2 linked regions of the Elephas maximus indicus genome follow. The protein of the gene in region 2 purifies or fractionates together with the protein of the main gene of each other region. This does not show direct contact. Links are inferred from orthologs where the notes say so. Each region holds a gene or a part of one and is shown on either strand. Other genes may lie near its edges.

Region 1 (10,322 bases), on a different chromosome or scaffold from region 2:
CCTTACATGAGCCCTCTCTATAACGTTTTCACTTGTGCAAATCAACAATGAAAATTGAAATTGCAAGTTTTCTACCAAGAATAGGAAAATACATTATTGTTAAAAGTAAAACTCCAATAACTAAAGATTTGAAAACAGTGAACAAAAATATTCAGCTTAGGATTCACACAGCATTTGTTAAATTCAGTCTTTGATTCTCTCTGACAAGTCTCTCCTTTAAGATATGTTCACTATCCTGTAATACATGATTATAATTAAAATACACCTTCCTAAAATAAATGGGTTGGGTAAAAACATATACACAACCACTGAAATTTACTTCTAACAGATTAGCATCTTAACACTTCCACAGCATTAAGATAGCTATAAATAATAAATAATAAAAAAATTATTTGGAAAAAACATACCCAGTACAACTTGCTATTAATCGAGCTTTTCCTAATTCATTGTATAAGCAATTCAAATGAGGCTCACATTACCTAATCTAACAAAATAATCAAGAGGAAAAAAAACCAGATTCTTGAGGCATTTCGAATCAGAGGCAAACAAAAAATGATTTTTAGTATTTCAAAGGAATATCCGCTTTTCCTTTCGACTGCAAAATTTACTTAGCTTTCTCATTTCATTTTTTTAAAATATAATGTCAATTCTAACTAATATTCTTCATCTACAAATGGTCAGAAACGTTAAAACACAAATCAATAGAAATATAACTTTAACCTTGTTATAAAACTAAATAAACATCACCAAATGATACTGCTGCGTTATCAGAAGCTTGAAATTTTTAATTTTATATTAAATATGTGTTCTAATACGGCTCAATTGTTCCCCCCCCCATGGTCAAATCTGTAAAGGGCAGGCTTTTAGAAAAGCTTTACGAATCCCATAAAAGCTTTCTGAATCCAAAAATTGGTTAAAAATTCCTGGTTTCCTTATGTTTCAATTAACATATCCTCACCCTACAATTAAAGTCCGTGATCTATGCAATGTTCATACTGAAAGGTTGTCATCAAAGAACTTAATTTTGCAAATGCTCAACGCTAGACACCAGCATAATGTTTTTATATACTTAATCTTCTTATTAATAACTCCGACTCATAATAAATGAAGCTTTAAATCATATTCAACCTTACATCTGCTTGCAATAGAGCTGGGTTATTATTTGTGGCAAGGATTTTTGTGACTGTACTGCCGAGCACGTCTATTTACATCAGCAGCGCTAAATGCCCAATGGTGAGAGGGGAGCCAATCAGATGGCGGATTAGATGTCAACTCCGAGGCAGCTGTCTGGAGACTCTTACAGCCAGTTTACCTCCACAATTCAAATTCCAAACCTCGCAAAGGAGATCGAGTCAGTCTTTAGGCTCAGCCTACCAGCAAGAAACAGCCAGAGTGCAGGACACTTCCCAATAACGTCGTGGGGCTGGGGTGACAGCGGAACACAGAAAATCCAAATAAATACGACCCAAATAGCTCACTGCCACGGGTCTGGCATGTTACTGGATTTGCCTAATAAAAGGTTTGCAGGATCCTCGACCAAAACAAGTTCGATTTATTCGGAATGTGGTCCTTGAACACAGCCTCTGTGAAGGTGACTCCTTTCGGGCTGCCCCTGAGCCGAAAGATGGATCTCACTGGCTGTCCTTAGGAAGGAATCGATATATTTTAGAGTATTTTGCCTCCACGCAGTTGCACGTTTCGGTATTATTTTCGCTCCTCAACGTTCAGGCCGGCAGGCCGCACCGAACATCCGCGAGTGCTCTAGTTACAGGCGGTTCTCCACAACCAGGAGCCGCACACTCGGCTGGTCAGGAAGCTAGCTCACCTCCCCTGCCGTTCCACGCGACGTGGTTGGAGGTGGAGAAAGTTCTCCGTCCTTCTAGTTAAAGCGCAGCGCTAGCGCTAACCAGGGAATCCGGTCCCCGTTCCCCTCGGACCCACTGGCGAGGGGAAGGCTGCCCCACCAAAGCGCCCGAGCCGGCCCCGCCGCCCCAACTGCCTCCCCGCGGCCGAGCGCAGGCCTGGGGGCTGGGGCGGGGTGCGCCGCCTCCATGGTGCCGCCGGCCCGCCCGCGCGTCCCCGCCGAGCGCCGGACCGCGAGGCGGACATTGTGCGCGCCCCGGCCTCCCGGGCGAGGCGGCCGCGAGCGAAATGGCTCCGGAATCTCGCCCCCACCTCCCCCCGAGAGGAGACGGAAAAAAAGTAAACCCGAAAGAAAGAAACTAGGGCCGCGAGCGCGCGAGGCCGCCGGGCGGAAGCAGGCCCGGCCGGCGCGTTACCTGGGGTCGGCCCATGGGCTGTCCGGGGTGGCCGGGGCTCATCGCCGGGTGGCTCCTTTGTTGCGCGGCCGCCCAGGCCGGGCTGGCGGCGGCGTACTGGGCGCCCAGGTCCTTGCCCAAGCCCATGCCCGCGGCCGCCTGCTGGCCTCCCGCCGCCGCCGCCCCCGCCGCCGCCGCCGCCTGGGACTGGGGCTGCGACGGCGGCGGCGGCGGCGGCGGCGCGCTGGGGCTGCTGTAGTCGGGGTAGCTGCCGCCGTAGCTCCTCATCATGGGGCTGGGCGAGGTGAGCAGCTGGTTAAGGGTCGGGGTGGCCCCCGACGGGTGCTGGTTCTGCCCGGCGAAGCGCTGGAAGCCCCCCGCCGCCGCGCCGGCGGCCGCCTTGCTGAGGCTCGCGGCCCCGCCGCCCCCGGGGCCCATCATCATGCCGCCGCCCTGCTGCCGGGGGGAGCTCAGCGCCCCGTACCCCGCGGCCGAGCCCCCATAGCCGCCGCCGCTGCCGCCGCCTCCTGCTGCTGCTGCCGCCGCCGCCGCGGCCGCCGCCGCCACAGCTCCCGCTCCCGCTCCTCCTCCTCCTCCTCCTCCTCCTCCGCTGCCTCCTCCTCCTCCGCCGCCGCCGCCGCCGCCTCCCGCGCTGGGCCGGCTGTAGCCCGGATAATGGTTGTACTGGCTGTTAGGGTACCCTTCGTGCGAGTTCTGCAGGGGCTCCATGCTGCTGGGGGCCCCGGCGGCGGCTGAGGCAGAGCGCATCATGCCCATCCCGGGGCTTTGTTGTCCGCCATGTTGATCAAAGCAAGGCCCAGCGCGGCCGCCGGGGCCGCCGCTGGCAGGGGCAGCGCTGCCGTAGTAATTATTAAACTCCGGGACGGCCGCCGGGCCGCCGCCGCCGGCGCCCCCGGGCACGGCGCCGCCGGACACGGCGCCCCCGGGCACGGCGCCCCCGGACACGGCGCTCGGCGGCGGCGGCTGCGCGCCCAGGGCGCCCAGGCCCGGGTGCTCGTAGCGGCCGCCCGCCGGCTCCCCCATCTTGGGCGGTGCGTCGTCCTCGTCGCCCGGCTTGCTCAGCAGAGGCTGGCCCGGGGCTTCGGCCTGGCTGCCCACGACACTGTCCTTGCCGCCGCCGCCGCCTCCATGTTGCGGCTGCTCCATGTCGGGACCCGGCTGAGCCGCGCCGCCGCCGCCCGCGCCGTGGTGGCCGCCGCCGCCGAGGCTGTTGTTGTTGGAAATGGGATGTTGCTGCTGCTGCTGCTGCTGCTGCTGGAACTGGTTTAGCTGCTGCTGGAGTGCGTGGTGGTGGTGGAGGTGGTGGGCATGGTGGTGGTGGTGGTGGTGGGCATGGTGATGGTGGTGGTGCTGCTGGTGGGGCGGTGCAGCGGGGGCCTCGCCAACGGCTTTCAGTTTGTGGTTGGGGAGCAGCCCCGTCTCCATGGCCGAGCCCGGGACCGAGGCGGAGGAAGAGGAGGACGCCGCCGCCGCCGCCGCCGCCGAGGAGGAGGAGGACAGCGCGGCGGCGCTTGCACTCTCCTTGAGAGCCGCCTCGGAGCCGCCGCTCTTGGCGTTACTGCCGGCGGCGGCGGCGGCGCTCGCGCTGTGGGCCATGTTCAGTTCATTATGGGGGTGCAGGGGGTGGTGGTGCACATTATTCAGGCCGCCGCCGTCGCCGCCCCCCAGCATGGGCCCGGGCGCCGCCGCGCCGCGCGCGCCCGCCTCCGGGTCCCGGGCCCCGAGCGCCGCCGGCCGCGGCCCGGGGGGCGCCCGCCGCTCGCTGCTGCCCGCCCGCGCCCGAGCCGCCGCCGCCGCCCGCGCGGCCATGATCGCCGGCGAGGCGCGCGAGGCTGGCGGCGGGGCGGGGGGACCCGACTTCAGGCCGCGGCCCCTCCTGCGCGCATCCCACGCCCGCGCCGACTCCGGCGAGCCCCCCCGGCCGGGCGCCTTACGAGCAGCGGGTCGAGCCTCACGGTCTGGGCCTGTTCCTGCTGTGGGCTCTCATGGTGAAAGTTTTGAGTTCAGGTTTAAATGAAACTTTTCTCCTTTCCTCCCTAACCCGGATATGGGTACACACACGGCTGCCGGAGCCTATCGGGCCCAGCATGGCACGCGAGGGAGCCGCGCGAGCCCGAGCAACTATTATCCACTTCTGATTACTCCGCGCACTCGCAAAACGCGGACTGGACTCAGCCAGCGCCGCCGCCGCCACCAGCCGCCCGCCGGGCGCACGTCGCCGGGCACCGGGCTGGCCGGCCGGGCCGAGGGCGGCTGCACGCTCCCCGGGCCTCGGTCTCCTTGCCAACCGGGCGTTCGCCGGTTTGTTTTCCCATCGAGAAGGCACGGTACAAAGGTGGAAAACGAGTCTGACGAGCAGACAAAAGAGAGAAAAGGGCTCGGGAACAAAGTTGTCTGTCGAACTCAAAGGTTATGAAGAACCGACGGAAAAAAGAAAAATATTTGGGTAATCTGTGCAAAAGCACTGTGTCTTCCAGTAGTTGTGTCATTTTTCAGAATCTTAGCCCCTCTGATTTGATTTTGGTCCCTCCACGTAGTTCCCACAACTTTTTCAAACGGCAAAATGAGGAAACGTTTCCGGTGAATTCCAGGAGCGCTGTGCCCTGTACACAGCAGGTACTCAATAAATGCTTTCCTTGTGCTGTACCTGCCCCAAAGATACTGTTGATATAACTAGTTTTCAAGGCACCTCGCATTTGCCTCTAGGCTTATCAATGAAAATTGCTCCACAAGTGTATGTCCTCTGTTTAAAGGGAAAAAGCCTCAAAGACGTCGAGTGGTATGTTATGCTCCAAACAACTTTCCGACGAAAGCTTAACTCCTAGTGCCGTCGTAGTAACAGCTAATGTTTAGCTCATGTCTTCATAAATCCGTGTGGCACCTTTCGTCATGTTTCACAGGTTAATGTAAACAACCTTCCTGATAGGAGCTCATTGTTGAGTAATGGGAAACAAAACGAAAATAAATACTAGACATTGTCTTTAATAAATATAAATATAAGATCAGTAATATAAAATGGTCCCATCAAATCCTAAAGTAGAAACCTTTCATATTTTGTTCTTTAAAAAATATCTATTATCACTTCACAATGTTTTAAATGTTTTGCCGATTTATCACTGTACTAGTTTAGATATCTTTGACAGCAGGACCTCTTAACCCAAGCAGTGGTTACCTTTTACTGGTGTGCACTCTGTTTTCATCAAGAGAAAGCATTTGAAACCAGAGCTTTCAAGAGGTCAAGCTGGCTGAAATAATCTGTATGATTTTGGTAGAATGTAGTTTTGCGAAATCATTTCATTCTCCAACTTTTGTCAGAAGTAGGTTAGTTTGTTTCAACTGCCCTGGTTATTTTTGTTTGCCTCACCAAGTGTAAGTAAATATGTTACATGCCTAAAAAAAAGGGATAGACTGGAAAAAACTGGGGGCTAATTGTGGGTGGGAGGGGGAGATCAGGTGCACACCCAAGGGTCATTATCCAGCATGGAAACGACAAATTGCAATTCTCCGCAAACAGCTGGAAAACCAGGGTCACATCATCATGTGTAAGAGAGGATAACAGAACTGTAAGATGAATTCATGCCAAACCATTCATCAGTTTTGCCAGGAGACTACTACATCTTTGTTAGTGTGCCTTTTTGACATTTTCTCCTGGATTTTCTCCTTTTATACATTCAAATACATACTAATTATACACATAAGTTGAATTTTGAAAGTTTTTCATATGCAAATATAACTGCATGTCTGTTTTGTGTTTGTGTGTATATTCCTATAAAGTCAGTTACATATTTATGCTTTTAGACATTCATCATCAAACTGAATATATACACATAATCATAAAATTGCATTTCTTCCAATTGATAAAATATATCAAAGTCAATTCATATTTTGTGGCTTGTTTTCACAACTGATCTTAAAAGGGAAAATGAGTCAACAAGTTCAGCTTTGACCCTTTTCATGAAAAAATTTTTTTATGTACAAAAATAATGAAAAAAAATTTAGGTATGTAAGTCGGTAAGTGTCTTTTCATTCCATTTGCTCCAGCAAGTCAACTAGAAGACTGGAACCAAGAGGCTCTGAAACAGAGGCCCTCAGCACAATGAACTCAGTCTGCTATAAAAGGCAGCGCATGCCAGCTTTTCCTCCCCAGTGGCAGATGCCACGCCCTGAAGCAGACAGAAGGCACTGCAGCCTGGAAGAGAAGCACAACACAAAGCCAGCAGGACTGGGTTTTGTCTTTGAAACCACAGAAAAATGTTCCAATACCTCTTTTTTAGCATCTTTGCTGAAGATAAGTAGTGGCCTTATATTTTACTCAACTGACACTTTTCAAACACCTTTCCAGGAAGACAAAATAAAAGCCTCTTACAGTTTCATTAATAAAAATAAAAACAGGGCTTAAGAAACAAAACAGCGCTTGTCAGGGGTCTGCTATCAAGTAATGAAATACTTTCAGATCTCACAAAAGCACACTTTCAGCTAGTGATGAGCATTCGTATTGTGTCACTTGCCTCAATTATCCTATATGACAACTCTACATTATTGTTTCTTTTGGAAGGAGCCCTGGTGGTGCAGTGGTTAAGTGCTCAGCTATTAACCGAAAGGTCGGCAGCTGGAACCCACCAGCTGTCCCTTGGGAGAAAGATGTGGCGTTCCGCTTCTGTAAAGATTTACAGCCTTGGAAACCCTATGGGGCAGTTCTACTCAGTCCTATATTGTCGTTAGGAGTCGGAACTGACTCGAAGGCAATGGCTTTGGTTTTGGTTTGTTTGGGTTTCTTTGGGAAGAAATAAGGTACTAGCAATCACTGAGTTCATTTTTCCCAGTGAATTTCTTATTTTTACACCTCTTGCCTAAATTTCAAACCATAATGACAACTTTAATAAGTTACTCTAACCACAAAGACCCGCGGTGGTACAGGCCCAAAAGCTGCCGAGTGGCCAGGCCTCGCCTCCAGCAACCTCCCAACCACAGATTGCTCCCCACGCCTTCGTGTTTAGCCTGAGGATTACCCATTATTTTGCTAAACATTCCTTCTTGGTTACAAAAAGGGTTTTTTATTATATGGAAATATTAATATTCAAATAACTGCTCCTTGTGAATAAGTTTTGGGGCAATGAATAAAAGACACTTCAGCGTGGCCACTTAAAGAGGATTGAGCCAGATGGTAGTTTAAGAATTCCACAATTCCATTCTTTTTACCTCTTCGTTGCCCATCCTACGCTGTTTGCTTTCAGATTAGCCCCCTTTTACTGTTCGACTTATTTCTTCGGTGACTGAAACTATCACGACTCACTACCCATCATATTTCTCAGTATTCTTTGCATAATTTGGAAGCAATTTAGAATAAAGCCCTGTCAAGATTTACAAATAAGAACTATTAAAGAATAAGGCTTTGGATACTTGCTTCCCTTTTAGATTTATGAGACATGCAATGAATGGAGCTGATGGGATTTCCCTACTGATCTTGGTCACGGACTTAAAAAAGTACTAAACAATTGTCCCTTTCACTTCCCCGATTTAGACATTAGCAGTGAATAACACTGAGTAATTGCAAGATATGGGATATAGCCTTTGATTTGGAACAACGATGCAAATTAACAGGGGCCCATAAATTCAGTATGCAAAGCAATTGTAGCATTTGAGAAAAGTCTAGGCAAAAAATAATTTTAACAAATTTGGGAACCAGGAAAACCAGTTGCATCATTATATTTACTAAGAATATGATAATGAGGACGGTAAACTTGGATGGGGATAAACTAGCACTTACTCATTCAACAAATTTCTTTAGAATCTGCTTTGTCATGCCCTGAAAATAAAAAGATAAACATTACCTGGTTCCTGTCTTGAAGGGCGTCAGAGTCTAATAAAGGAGACAAACAATTAACAATTGCACTAAAATATACTAAGGGCTGCCCTTGAACCTCATGGAGGATTTGGCCAATTTAGAGCAAGCTCAGACTTCCCCATAGGTCAGCAATCCCTGTAACTGAGCCTTGCTGTTGACTGCCATCAGCCTAATCTGACTGCATCTGGCACATCCCAGACTTGATGCCAGGAACCCACCACTGGATCCTGATGAGGCTAGTCAGCACCAGCAATTGGGCCAATTCCAAGTATATTCAGAGTATTACCAAGTGTTGGATGTAGACTTCCAAAACCTTAAATCAAATTTAACGTTATGTGCCCTCAAGTCAATTCCGACTCACAGGGACCCTATAGGACAGAGTAGAACTGTCTCATAGGGTTTCTTCCCTAAGCTGTAATCTTTATGGGAGGTGATCGCTAGGTCTTTTCTCCCATGGAGCCACTGGTGGGTTCATAGTAACACCATTGACATAAATGCAGAAATACCTTATTACATTTTAAAACATTGTACATTTTATCTTTACTGGACTGTCCACATTTTGAACGACAGGTAATAAATATTTTTCACTACAACCTAGAATGTTTAGAAATGTTCTGTAACTTTTAGAATCGTATGTCCAATCACATTTCTTTCATTTTACTCCCAGTATTGTCCTCATTCGTGTTGCCATCATCAAAAGTCACTTATCGAGCACCTACTCGTGCCTTTCAATATTCTGTTCTATATTGGATCATGTCATACATCATGTAAGTAGCTCCTATCTGTGATAATCTAAAGCTTGGATAAAGGCATTTAGAGAGAGTTCCACTCTAGCTTCTAAAAAATAAATACTTGGATAGTAAACATATTTGAATGTCCAACTCAATGACCTTGGACACATCAAGAGAGATCAATTGCAGAGGAAAACACAGTGTTTGGTGAAATAGAAGGCCAAGGCGGGTGAGGGAGACCCTCAGTAAGGTGGATTGATGTAGTGGCTGTAACAATGGACTTGAACATGTTGGTGATTGTGAGGATGACCCAAGACCAGGCAATGTCTCTTTATGTTGTATATAAGTTTACCATGAGTTGGAAATGACTTGATGGCTGCTAACGAGAACAACAAAACATATTTGATATTACATCGTATACTAGCCAGGATGTGGGATCCAAAGCCAATCATCATGAAGACAGAGCAGGACAAGACAACATTTCGTTCTGTTGTGCATGGGACAGCTGACAACAACAACAACAACAAATTATCACGTATCCAAAGGGAAGTCATTTGGAGTGCTGATCACCTCAGTTTTCTGGAATATTTCACTGCCTTACCTGAAGGACTTGGGAGTCTCTCACACATATGATTCATTGTCTCATAGTACATGTAGACTTTTAGAATAAGACTACTCTTCAAGCACAGTAAATCCCAAAAAGCTATAACACATGTAACAATGCATTCCTGATTTTTATTTCACCCCATTATACTCAAGTACCTCACCCCTAACTTATTAGGAGAGTCGGTGGGCACCTCTCAGTGTACATCACCAGGAGTCATCAATTGCTCTGCTAAGAGCCCGAGAACTTGGTTATATGCTTTTCTTACACAACAGCTTCATTGAGGAATTTGCTTAGTAGTGCATTCCCCCAAAAATGTTCAGGTCGTTCAACACAAGTGAAGTTTTTCTCCTCCTAACTTAAATGTTCCACATGGAAACGTGTTACTGTAAGGCTGAACGCTCAGTAGGCTACTCCTGACAGTCTGACAACTCAGATGTCTACTCTGACAAGCTGCATCTCTCTGGTGCTGGTGACCTGTTTTCTGGAGGTCCACGCATGCTACAAGATTTCCTTCCCAAAGCGTAACCCACAAGAATCAGTTAGGGAGGTGGCCTCTTGGTTCAACCCCTTTCATTCATTTATTCAGCAAATAACGGCACCTGGCACTGCACTGGAAAACCCGGTGGCATAGTGGTTAAGAGCTATGGCTGCTAGCCAAAAGGTCGACAGTTCCAATCCACCAGGTGCTGCCTATAGGGCAGCATGACTCTATCCTTTAGAGTCACTATGAGTCAGAATTGACTCAATGGCAAAGGGTTTTTTGTTTTTGTTTTTGGCACTGCCTTGGGCTCCACAATCACCACAGTGAGCAAAAAAAGAATTCACCCATTGAGTGTACTCGCTAAACATTAATCAAATAA
Region 2 (10,127 bases):
TTTTGCATCAGTCTCTTTGCTGAGCATCTGGACAAGATGACGCCAATAAATGGGTTGGGTGACCCCAGGCCCAGAAGTCCCTGGTTCTGCCCTCTAGGCCTCCGTGGTGTTCTCGTGTGTGAAATGGGAATCCTGGGCCTAGCTTGATAATTGCTGGGCCCAGGGGAGGGCTGAGAAGGAGGTTCCTGGGATTCTCACAGGAGGAGAGGTGAAGGTTAAAAAGGGTCAGCAGTAAGGAGGACAGGACAAAGTGGGGAAAGTGTTAGGGAGGAAGGTCCTGGCTCAAGCCCCTACTCCACATCTGACTCATGGTGTGACTACAGGAAGGTCCTCTCAAAGAGTCTCAGTGACCCCATCTGAGAAATGGAGCATGTGACAAAACTGTCACCAAAGACCCTCCCCAGCCCTGACGGGGAAACAACATGACACAAAATTATAAAAGGGTCTTTATTTGTAAAAAGTCAAAGAGGCCCCTGGGGTGGCAGGATAGGCAGGCCGGCTTCTCAGGGGTCAGGGGCATTGGGGCAGATGCGCTTGAGTGGGGGGGCGCCCTCCGAGTCCTCTGTGTCACCCTGGGCTGCCTCGGGGACAGGTGGCACTGGCTCAAAGACGGGGTAAGCTTCAGGGGCCTGGAGAGGAAGGGCGGACAGGCGTGAGCTCCACCCAAACCCAGGAGTCCAGCCTCCTAGCCTCTGCCTTCTCCAAAGCCTCCACTCCACTCCCCTCCCGGACCCAGGAGTCTAGCCCAGAGCCAGGTACCCAAGATGCAGCTTAAGTAAGGCACAAGAAAAAACAACAACGACAAATTCTGGAGAAAGAATGTGATATTTGATATTTCGGAAAAATGCATCAACATAATCCTTGTGGGAAAAATCAGAACTTTATGGGGGACTTTATTAAGCTTAAGACATTGGCCGTCGCTAAAATATCCTCTCCTTTTTGGTCCCAAGAATCCAGCCTCTAAGCTTTTACCTGTGTTCTATGTCTACATTCCCCTTCTGGACCCAGGAGTACAGCCTCCGAGCCTTTGGCTAACCCCAAAGCTTCCAACCCCTCGAAGACCTAAAAGAACAGTGTTCTGGCCTCTCTCACCTCAGCTTCCAGCAATTCTGGAACAGGCTCTTCCTTGGTCAGCATCGGGGGTTCATCGGTGCCGCCCGTAGTTATGCCCCCAGGATCTGGAAGGTCAAGTTAACAGACATTCCCTGAGCAGCCAGCAACTCTGTGGCAGTAACACAAACCAGTCAGGGAAATAAATACCAACAAGCACCAACCACGTAAGCCAGAGGGTATGGGAGAATGAGGGAGGAGCCCGCACTGTTACTGTGATCCAGAAGGCAGCACAGAGGAAGGAACATTTATGTGGGATGTTGAAGGGTGAGTAGGATTTCATCCGGCAAACAGGTGGAGCACACTTTTCGCAGAAGGAATTCATGCTTAATGAGCACAACTTCTGGGGTTGGAGTGCCTGGGTTCATATTCTGACCTTGGTCAAACTACTTAATTTCTCTAAGTCTCAGTTTCCCTGTCTGTAAAATGGGGATAACAACAGTAGTTACCACATGAGATTGTTGTGAGGATTCAGTGAGACAATACAGGTAGAGCCCTTAGCACAACCAAGTACTCAGCGGGTATCAATTAGTGCTTTTGTATTAGCAAAGGCATAAGAGTGCATGGCACATACTCGTCACAGCAAGTAGGCCCATGTCATGAGGTTGCTGGGGGAGAACAATGAGGTTACCAGGGGCCAGTTCACGAAGGGCCCTGAATGCCAAGCTGGGGAGGAGTCAAAAGCCATGGGGAGCTACTGAAGGCTTTGAAGCAGGGAAGCTGACAAGCTTGTGGTTTAGTTACTCTGGCAGTTGTGTGGAAGCAACTGGATGGGGGTGACTGCTGAGGAGGCTAGAGCCAGCAGTGCATGAAAGATGGGATGGCCAGAGCCAGGCAGAGCCTGGGGAGGGAAAGGCAGGCATCGACTGGCTATATGGAAGAGGGAGCTTGCTGTGTGACTTCGACAACTTACGTAACTTCTCTGAGCATCGGTTTCGTCATCTATAAATGGGGATCGTAATACGACACACCTTCCCATAGGGTTGTGATGAAGATTAAAAAAGATAAAGTGAGTAAAGTGCTTAGAAGCATACCTGGCGCACAGTAAGCACTCAATATATATTACCTATTATCAATACCGTGTTAATTGCTTTTATGATTATCACTCAACGAATGTTCCTTGAGTACCTACTATGTGTCACATGGTGTTCTGAGGCAATTAGTGAACAAGATCGATATGAGCCCAACTTTCATGAAGCTGCTATCAGGTGGGACTGGGGGAGAAACATACTATACTAATAAAAAGTTAAATTTACATGAAATTTCAGATCGTGATAAGAGATCTACAGACCCTAAGAAGCCAGAGGAATGAGACACACAGTAGCTAGAGATAGGGTGGTAACTTTCCACAGAAGCCAAGGAAGAGCCTCCTTGATGAGGCAACAAAAGAGGAGGAACAGACATGCAGGGAAGCTGGTGGGTTCAGCTTTGTAGCGAACAGGATTCATCAGAGGAGCGGGCTCCCAGGAGGCACCTGGTCCTACCTCTCTCCTGGCCCAGCTGTGGGGGCTGAGCCTCTTCTGGGACCCCATCTTGGGGTCCGGCAGGCGATTCAGGACGGCTGGGCTGGGGGGTGCCCCCAGGGCTGGGCTCGGTGCCCTTTTGCAGAGACCCTTCCGAATGAAAACTCTGGTTGCTGTTCTCATCTGTGGGAACAAGAACCAGAAGGGTTGGGCCTGAGGCCCCAAGTTCTCTCTTCCATGCCCCTCACCCCCTAAATCCCAGGATCCCCACATACCATTGAGATCGAGCAGGATGAGAGGACCACCCCCTCGGGGACTGGAGACCCTGCCCCGCCGCTCCCGGCCACGGGATCTTTCTGCACCACCAGCCGCCCGTCGTCGGTCCTAGGGGTTAGAGGGGTAAGGGTCAGGGCCCCAACTGCCTTTCTGGTTAGCTCTTGCAATCCTCCCACCCCGTACAGATAAGGAAACTGAGGCAGAGAGAAGCAAAAGGCCTTGCCTGAGGTGACAGAGGTTGTGCATGCTGAGTTAGGTTCTGAATTCTGGGCTCTGGAGCAGGGAAAAAGAAGGGGGCTGGGGTGGCTAATAATTGTTGACATCTGCCTAAACTGCTGCATTTGAGGTCTGAGTGGGGACTAGATGTGGAGGCCAGGGTGGGCAGGAGCTTGGCTGAGGTTGCACAGATGCAGGGTCTGGTGGAGGGGGGGCTTGCTCACCTCCTCCTGGGGGTCCACCACTGGCACCCACTTGAAGATACGAAGGGAAGTGTCGCCCACAGTCACCCAGCGCTTCTCCCTGTGGGAGGATGGGGGGTAGCTGGGTCAGAGAGGCTTGGGGGAAAAGCCCCCCAGCTGGACACATCTGGGGGTACCTGCAGAGGTGGGGGAGGGGCACGAGGGGAGGGACAGTTTTGTTAATAGGGCGTAGTGAGAGGGCCAAAGAGAGCCCTGCAGACCTCAGGGCATAGATGAGAGTGCGTCTAGGGAGGGTATGGCTTGGGACTGTGGCGCTGCAAAAATGGGGGCATGGCTCTGGGCCTGGGTGAGGACCATGGCAATGAAGATCCTGGGGCACACTTAGGATGGAGGGAGTCACAGCTTTAGGAGGCAGGGCACAAAAATTGGAGCCCTACTATGGGAGGGCACGGCTGGAGATCACCAGGGCAAGGGAGAATGAGCCCTGTCAATCCGGGGCACAGCTGGGCACACGCCTAACACCTGGGGCTACAGCTGGCATGGGGAGGGTAAATGCATTTGGGGGCGGTAGCCCTGCTATGTCCCATCCGCGTCCCTGTCGCTGAGCTCACCATCTCCGGACCTTCTCGATGGTCGCCATCACCTTCTTGATGTCATCCTTGGCCCGGCTCCGGGTCTCGGCCCGCACAGTCCGGCCCGCCATGCTGGCGGGGCTGGGACCGAGGCAGGGCCCGTGGCGGGGCCGCCTCCCGTCCGGCGGGCTCAGGCTCGGCGCCAAGCAGGGGCGCCGCTCTCCAGGCCTGCCGACCCTCCGGGAGTTGGCCGCGCCCTCCCTCGCTCCCCAACGCCTCCGCGAATCCCCGCCCCGCTTCCTGCCGCCGCGCCCCGCCCCGGCCCGTCCCCGGAGCGGCCCGGCGGCGCGGGCGGCGGGAGCCGAGGTTTGGAAGCCCGGCCGGCCCCGCCCCGACCCGGGCCCGCCCCCTCGGGGCGTCCGGACGCGCAGCGCCCCCTGCCCGCCACCGAGAGGGAGAGTTAGGGGCAGCTGGGCGACTGGACGCGCGCGACCGGCCAGAGGCGGTGCGTTCAGGCCACGTGGGCCCCGGGGATGCGCGCGGGGGTCCGTGTCCGGATGTGCGTCCCCCGCGCTTGGGCGTCCCTGAAATTCTGGGTGAGGGTGTGTTTATGTATGTGTGTGTCCACCCTCGCCAAGTTGTCTGATTCTATGTTGCCCAGCTCATCCATTCATTCAACAGTCTACTGAGTGCCAACTATGTGCCAGGTTCTGCCAGTATGAGTGGGTCTCCACCCACCGGAATGACTAAAATGAAAATGACAGACCATACCAAGGTAGGCGAGGAAGCAGAGCAAGTGGAACTCATATTTAGGCGGGGAGTTGGGGGGGTGTAAATTGGTAGAGCCACTTTGGAAAACAGGCAGTTTTCTAGTGAAGCTGGCCATATGATCCAGCAGTTCCAATCCTAAGTCGTCAACGCCCAACGGAGGTATGAACACCAAGAGATGTGTACTAGAAAGTTCATAGCACTGTTCATAATAGCCCCAAATTGGAAACAACTCAAATGCCCATCAACAGGAGACTGGAAAATGAATTGTAGCCTATTCACACCCGTGGGCACAGCAATGAGAATGATTGATTCCTGCTACACCTAACAAACCCTGGTGGCGTAGTGGTTAAGTGCTACGGCTGCTAACCAAGAGACCGGCAGTTTGAATCTGCCAGGCGCACCGTGGAAACTCTGTCGGGCAGTTCTACTCTGTCCGATAGGGTTGCTATGAGTTGGAATCGACTCGACGGCAGTGGCTTTGGTTTTTACACCCAACAACGTGGATAAGTCTCATGAACATCTGAGTGAAAGAAGACACAAGCTTCCATTTATATGAAGTTTGAAAACGACAAAATTATGGTGTGAGAAGGCAGGATAGTGGTCACCCTTGGGGGATACTGACTGGGAATGGCTAAGAGGGGGGTTTCTCCAAGCAGATCCTGTTCTGTTTCTTAATGTGGTGCTGGTTCCTTGGGCATGTTTATCATATGGGAAGTCATCAAGCTGTGTACTTATAATGTGTGCACTTTTCTGTATGTGTATTTTACTTCAATAAAAAGTTTTCTTAAAGAAAATGACTGTGTCTTGGTTGGTTTTATTGGACACCGTGCTTGTCAGCAGACCCTTGGTGAGCTTGGCGACAAACAAAAAGGTTGGCAGTTCGAATCCGCCAGCTGATCTTTAGAAACCTTATGGGGCAGCCCTACTCTGTCCTATAGGATCACTATGAGTCGGAATCAACTTGACAGCGATGGGTTTACAGGTGCTTGTCAGCAGATATAAATGTGTGTTGCTATGTGTGAGTGTGTTTCAAGGGTATGTCTGTTGTGTCTGTGCTGTTGTGTGACCGTCCGGAGGGGTTAAGGTATAGCAAGGTGATGATGAGAGCATCTCTGGAGCTAAACTGCTGGGGAGAAATCCCAACTGTGCCACACTTACCTATGTGGCCTTGGACGAGTCACTTATCTGTCTATACTTCTAATTCCTTGTCTATAGAATGGGGGTGATAATATTACCTACCTTTTTATATTGTTATAAGCATTAAGGAAACCCTAGTGGCATAGTGGTTAAGTGTTACGGCTGCTAACCAAAGGGTCAGCAGTTCGAATCCACCGGGCACTCCTTGGAAACCCTATGGGGCAGTTCTACTCTGTCCTATAGAGTGGCTGTGAGTCGGAATCGACTCGATGGCAACAGGGTGAATGAGTTTATAAGCATTAAGCAAGTTAATACATGAATACATGTATAGCTCTTAGAGCCTGCACATAATAAACCCTCAATAAATATTAACTGTGAATAAAGAGTGCAGCCTCAGTTGCACCTGCTCTGCTGTCTGCCAGTTAATCCCTGCATTCCTTTATTCTGGCAGTTTGTCTGCCCATGTCAACATCCTCACAGACACACAGTCCTTTTGCTCACAGTCTCCATTGTGTATGGTCTCTCTCATCAGACTGTGAGTTCCTTAGGGGGTCTGAGACCCCATATGGATCGTATCTGTGTCCCAGGATCCAGAGCAGAGTAGGCACTCTAGAACCATCTCTAGGGATGTGTATGCAGACCCCCTAGTGTCTATCTGCACCAGGTTAGTGGGGTTACGTGTGAGTGTGACCTCCTGCACCTGTCTCTGAAGCTTGCTCCTATGTAAGAATGAGTGTATGCATTAACTTTCAATAGATGCATGTGTGTGTGTCAGTGGGGTGAGGTGAGATGAGGTGATGTGTCTCCCTCCTGGTAGGTGTGACAACCAGCATGTGCTTGAAGAAAGGAGACGGGGAATATCAATGTGACAATGAGACTGTGCTGACTGGGTGGAACGCATATAAGATACAGGTGTGTGTCTGGGTAGGTGTGCCCCCAAGCCCTAGAGACTCCTACCGGACAACCCTCTCACCTAGCCTCCCTTTGTCTCCAAGAGGAAGGGCTTGCACATCCTCTCCTGCCAGCCCCTCAGCCTCCCTCTTTATCTCCTAGTGCCAGGCCCTGCCCCAGGTCGGTGCCTGAGCCTCCTCCTGGTGGGACGCAGGGCTGCTTCCCATGCCCCCGACCCTCGGTCCCAGGTCCCAAGCCCATAGTGCCAATAAGCTGTCCCCCCCACCCCACCCCTTAGGTCCCTCTCGGGTTAGGCTGCGTAGGCTGGGAGCTGAGCTCAGGGCCAAGGAATCTTGCCTGGGAGAGGGGGGGTGGGGCGGGTGTTTGGGGTCTGGACCATGATTGGTTGCGCCCGAGTCACGCCCCTACCCCTGTCCCCCTTCTCCCGCCTCGAAGGGGGGCGTGGAGGTAACCGAGATCGGCTAAGGGCCAGCATGAGCCGGAGGGAGGGAAGTCTGGGTAAGGGGCTGAAGGGTCAGATGCCGGGTCACTGAGGGGAGCAGGGGTCAGAAGGGCTGGGAGCTAGGGTCAGAGTCTCCGCCACCTCCGGGACTGGGAGGGGAGCGGCCTGGGCACGGGAGCTTACCCTGGTGTCAGGTAACGAGCGGGTGAGTTGTGGGAAGGGAGCAGGCGCCAGAGTTGTGGGAAGGGAGCAGGCGCCAGGGTTCAGAAGAGGCCTGGAGCTGCGCTTTCAGGGACTTGGGCTCTGCAGCCAGACAACTGGTTCGAGTCCACCTGGGGGAGGACTGGAGTCAGGACAGGGGGCTGGACCCCTGGGTCCTCTCCGAGTCTCGGAAATAATCAGAACTTGGGGTCAGAGGGAGAAGTAGAGTTGTGGAAGTCTTTGGGCCACATGAGTGAGTGCATGACAAGAGGAAACGAAAGTCTAGGCAGCTGAAGACCGGTACTAGCAGTGGGAAACTCAGGCGGGGGGCGGGGCGGGAGGTGCCGTGTCCGGACTACATCCCCCAGCATGCACTTGGGAGCGCGCTGTGCGTCTCGGGAAGTGTAGTCCTCCTTCTCCTGGGGCGCCACCCTATGGCTTGTGTCCCTCAGGGCGGGTCGCTGATTCATTGATGCCGCCCAGGGCCCAGCCCAGTGTTTTGCATAAAAGAGACATCAGAAAGCGAATGGGACTTCGGTCTCCGGATCTGTAAAATGAGGGAGTTTTTTCCTTACAGGCCTCTTTCGATTTGCAATGCTGTGCTTCAATGATGTTGAATTCCACTAATAGTCACTCAAGTACAGAAATAGATGTCAGCCCTATCCTCTCAGGGATCCCAGGCTGAGGCAGATACACACAAATAATTATAATCTGCCATTAAAAGAGTTACCTGGCAAGTATAAGCAAATGGCTTTAGGTTGAAGGAAGAAGTTAATTTGGGAAACAGGTCAATCTGGAGGCCACACTGAGGAGGCAATGTTTGAATTTGGCCTTAATATGATTTCAACAGCAGCTTGGACACAGGGAACACATTTCACATAGAGCTACTGCTTGGAAAAGATCTGGGGTCTCAGTTGGTATGGGACAGACTGTGCCTAGCTTAAAAATGGGAAAATTCAGAGCAGAGCTGCTGGGTTTAGGAAGCAGGAGCCAGCCTCGGAGCAGTCTCGGAGGAGGGGTTTGGGCTACCCTTATTCTTCCCCCCTTTCTCACCAGAAGACCCCCAGGCTGACTCCTCAACCTCACTCCTTCCCCACCTGGAAGCCAAGATCCGTCAGACTCACAACCTTGCCCGTCTTCTCACCAAATATGCTGAGCAGCTGTTCCAGGAATATGTGAGTGGGGGTGGGGATGGAGGATGTTGTAGGGGCCTGGGGCCTAGAGAATCATGGGGAAGCACAGATCACAGGAGTCCTACACCATCCATTTTCTTTACCTCATTTCCCCTTGAGAAGGACAGTAACTTGCCCCTGGCCACACAGCAAATAGGAGGAGGGTCCTATCTGTGACCCAAATGCCCTCTGTCCTCATCACCTTGGAGGCTCCCTCCTCAGAGCTTTAAGTCAGAGGCTGCCTGAGAGAGTGATGAGAACTCTGGTCTGAGAGTCAGGAAGACTAGGGTCTATGAGATCTCATCACCTAGCCTCCGTGGGCCTTGGTCTCCCTAGCTGTAAAAGGAGGCAGTTGAGCAAGACGAGCTGTGAGCTCTTTCAGCTGGGTATTCAGAGAGGCCAATAACGGTTTTCAATCTGGGGCAAAAATTCCACCTCAAGAGGGGATTTTTACAGAGGGAGATCTACTGACATTTTGGTTGGGCAGAAGGCCCTGCCCAAGGAAAGAAGATGTTTACCCAAAATTTCCCTGATGTAGTGAAGGGAAGGTATAGTTGTGGAATCAGACAGACCCAGGCCTATCAGCTTGCTAACCATGACATTGGGCAGTAATGCTAATATTAAAATAACCAAGTAATAATTATGATTTGGGATAACAGAGACGGAACTGGCTTTGCAGTCCTACCAACTTTGGTTCGTATTCCAGCTCTGCCACTTACTAGATGAGTGATCTACGGCAAGTCACTGTACCTCTTCAGCCCGGTTTCCTCATTTACAAAATAATTATCATCATCATTCTACTCATTATTGGGAAAATTTGAATTAATATGTTTAAAGCAACAAGCACAATGCCTGAACTGGAGGGAAGAGGTTAGGAAAGGATAAATGGCGAACACAATTCAATCCACAACAGGAGGGTAGGGAAGAAGAGCAAAATAGACTTGGTCCTTGCAATATCTCATATGATTCTCAGGAGACCCTTGGTAAGAAGACAGGGCAGGGAGCTGCTTCCCTTTTTACAGATAAGAAGACTGAGGTTCAGAGAAGGAAGTGGTTTTTGCCCTAAACGGCACAATTAGTAAGTGGTGGAGACGGGACTTGAACCCTGGCCTGTAAGATAACATTACTGAAAGACTAACATTTATTGAGCCCTTCCTATGGGCCAGGCCCTGTCTTAAGCACTTTACATGCTCGTATACTTACCAGCATGTTGGAAGTACCATATGAAGTTGATACTATTATTATCCACTTCAGAGACAAAAACAGGCACTGATGTACAGCTCACGTTGTTTTCTGTTGCTTTATATTCTCTCAAACACAGCAGCCCGGTGAGAGATTTATCATTTGCGAGATAAGGAAACTAAGGCCCCGGAGTGGGTGGGGGACTCAGTTAAACGTGGAGGAGCTCGCGCCCCGGCCCACCGCACAGCTGGGGCCGCTCCAAGCGCAGCCTCGCTGACAGTCTGGCCATGTCTCCTCAGGTGCAGCACCAAGGAGACCCCTTCGGCCTGCCTGGCTTCTCGCCGCCGCGGCTGCCGGTGGCCGGCTTGAGCGCCCCGGCGCCGAGCCACGCGGGGCTGCCCGCGGCGGAGCGCCTGCGGCTGGACGCGGCGGCGCTGGAAGCGCTGCCGCCGCTGCTGGACATCGTGCGC

Evidence for each region.
Region 1: the proteins of BCL7C (region 2) and ARID1B purify together in Homo sapiens (affinity purification with mass spectrometry; 4 studies listed by BioGRID and IntAct, counting the BioPlex papers as one, with this or other methods). This does not show direct contact. The link is inferred for Elephas maximus indicus from reciprocal best matches to the Homo sapiens genes BCL7C and ARID1B.

The regions. Positions count from the first base shown.
Region 1 is NC_064819.1:228,890,345-228,900,666, reverse strand, and holds the start of ARID1B (AT-rich interactive domain-containing protein 1B), read right to left. Parts: upstream 3,977-10,322; 5' UTR 3,951-3,976; coding exon 2,280-3,950; intron 1-2,279. UniProt on the Homo sapiens protein: Involved in transcriptional activation and repression of select genes by chromatin remodeling (alteration of DNA-nucleosome topology).
Region 2 is NC_064830.1:90,162,575-90,172,701, forward strand, and holds BCL7C (B-cell CLL/lymphoma 7 protein family member C), read right to left. Parts: upstream 4,205-10,127; 5' UTR 3,972-4,204; coding exon 3,880-3,971; intron 3,369-3,879; coding exon 3,290-3,368; intron 2,958-3,289; coding exon 2,849-2,957; intron 2,757-2,848; coding exon 2,595-2,756; intron 1,179-2,594; coding exon 1,093-1,178; intron 630-1,092; coding exon 504-629; 3' UTR 421-503; downstream 1-420. Other genes in the region: CTF1 (cardiotrophin-1), read left to right, coding at 7,134-7,158, 8,360-8,478, 9,957-10,127. UniProt on the Homo sapiens protein: May play an anti-apoptotic role.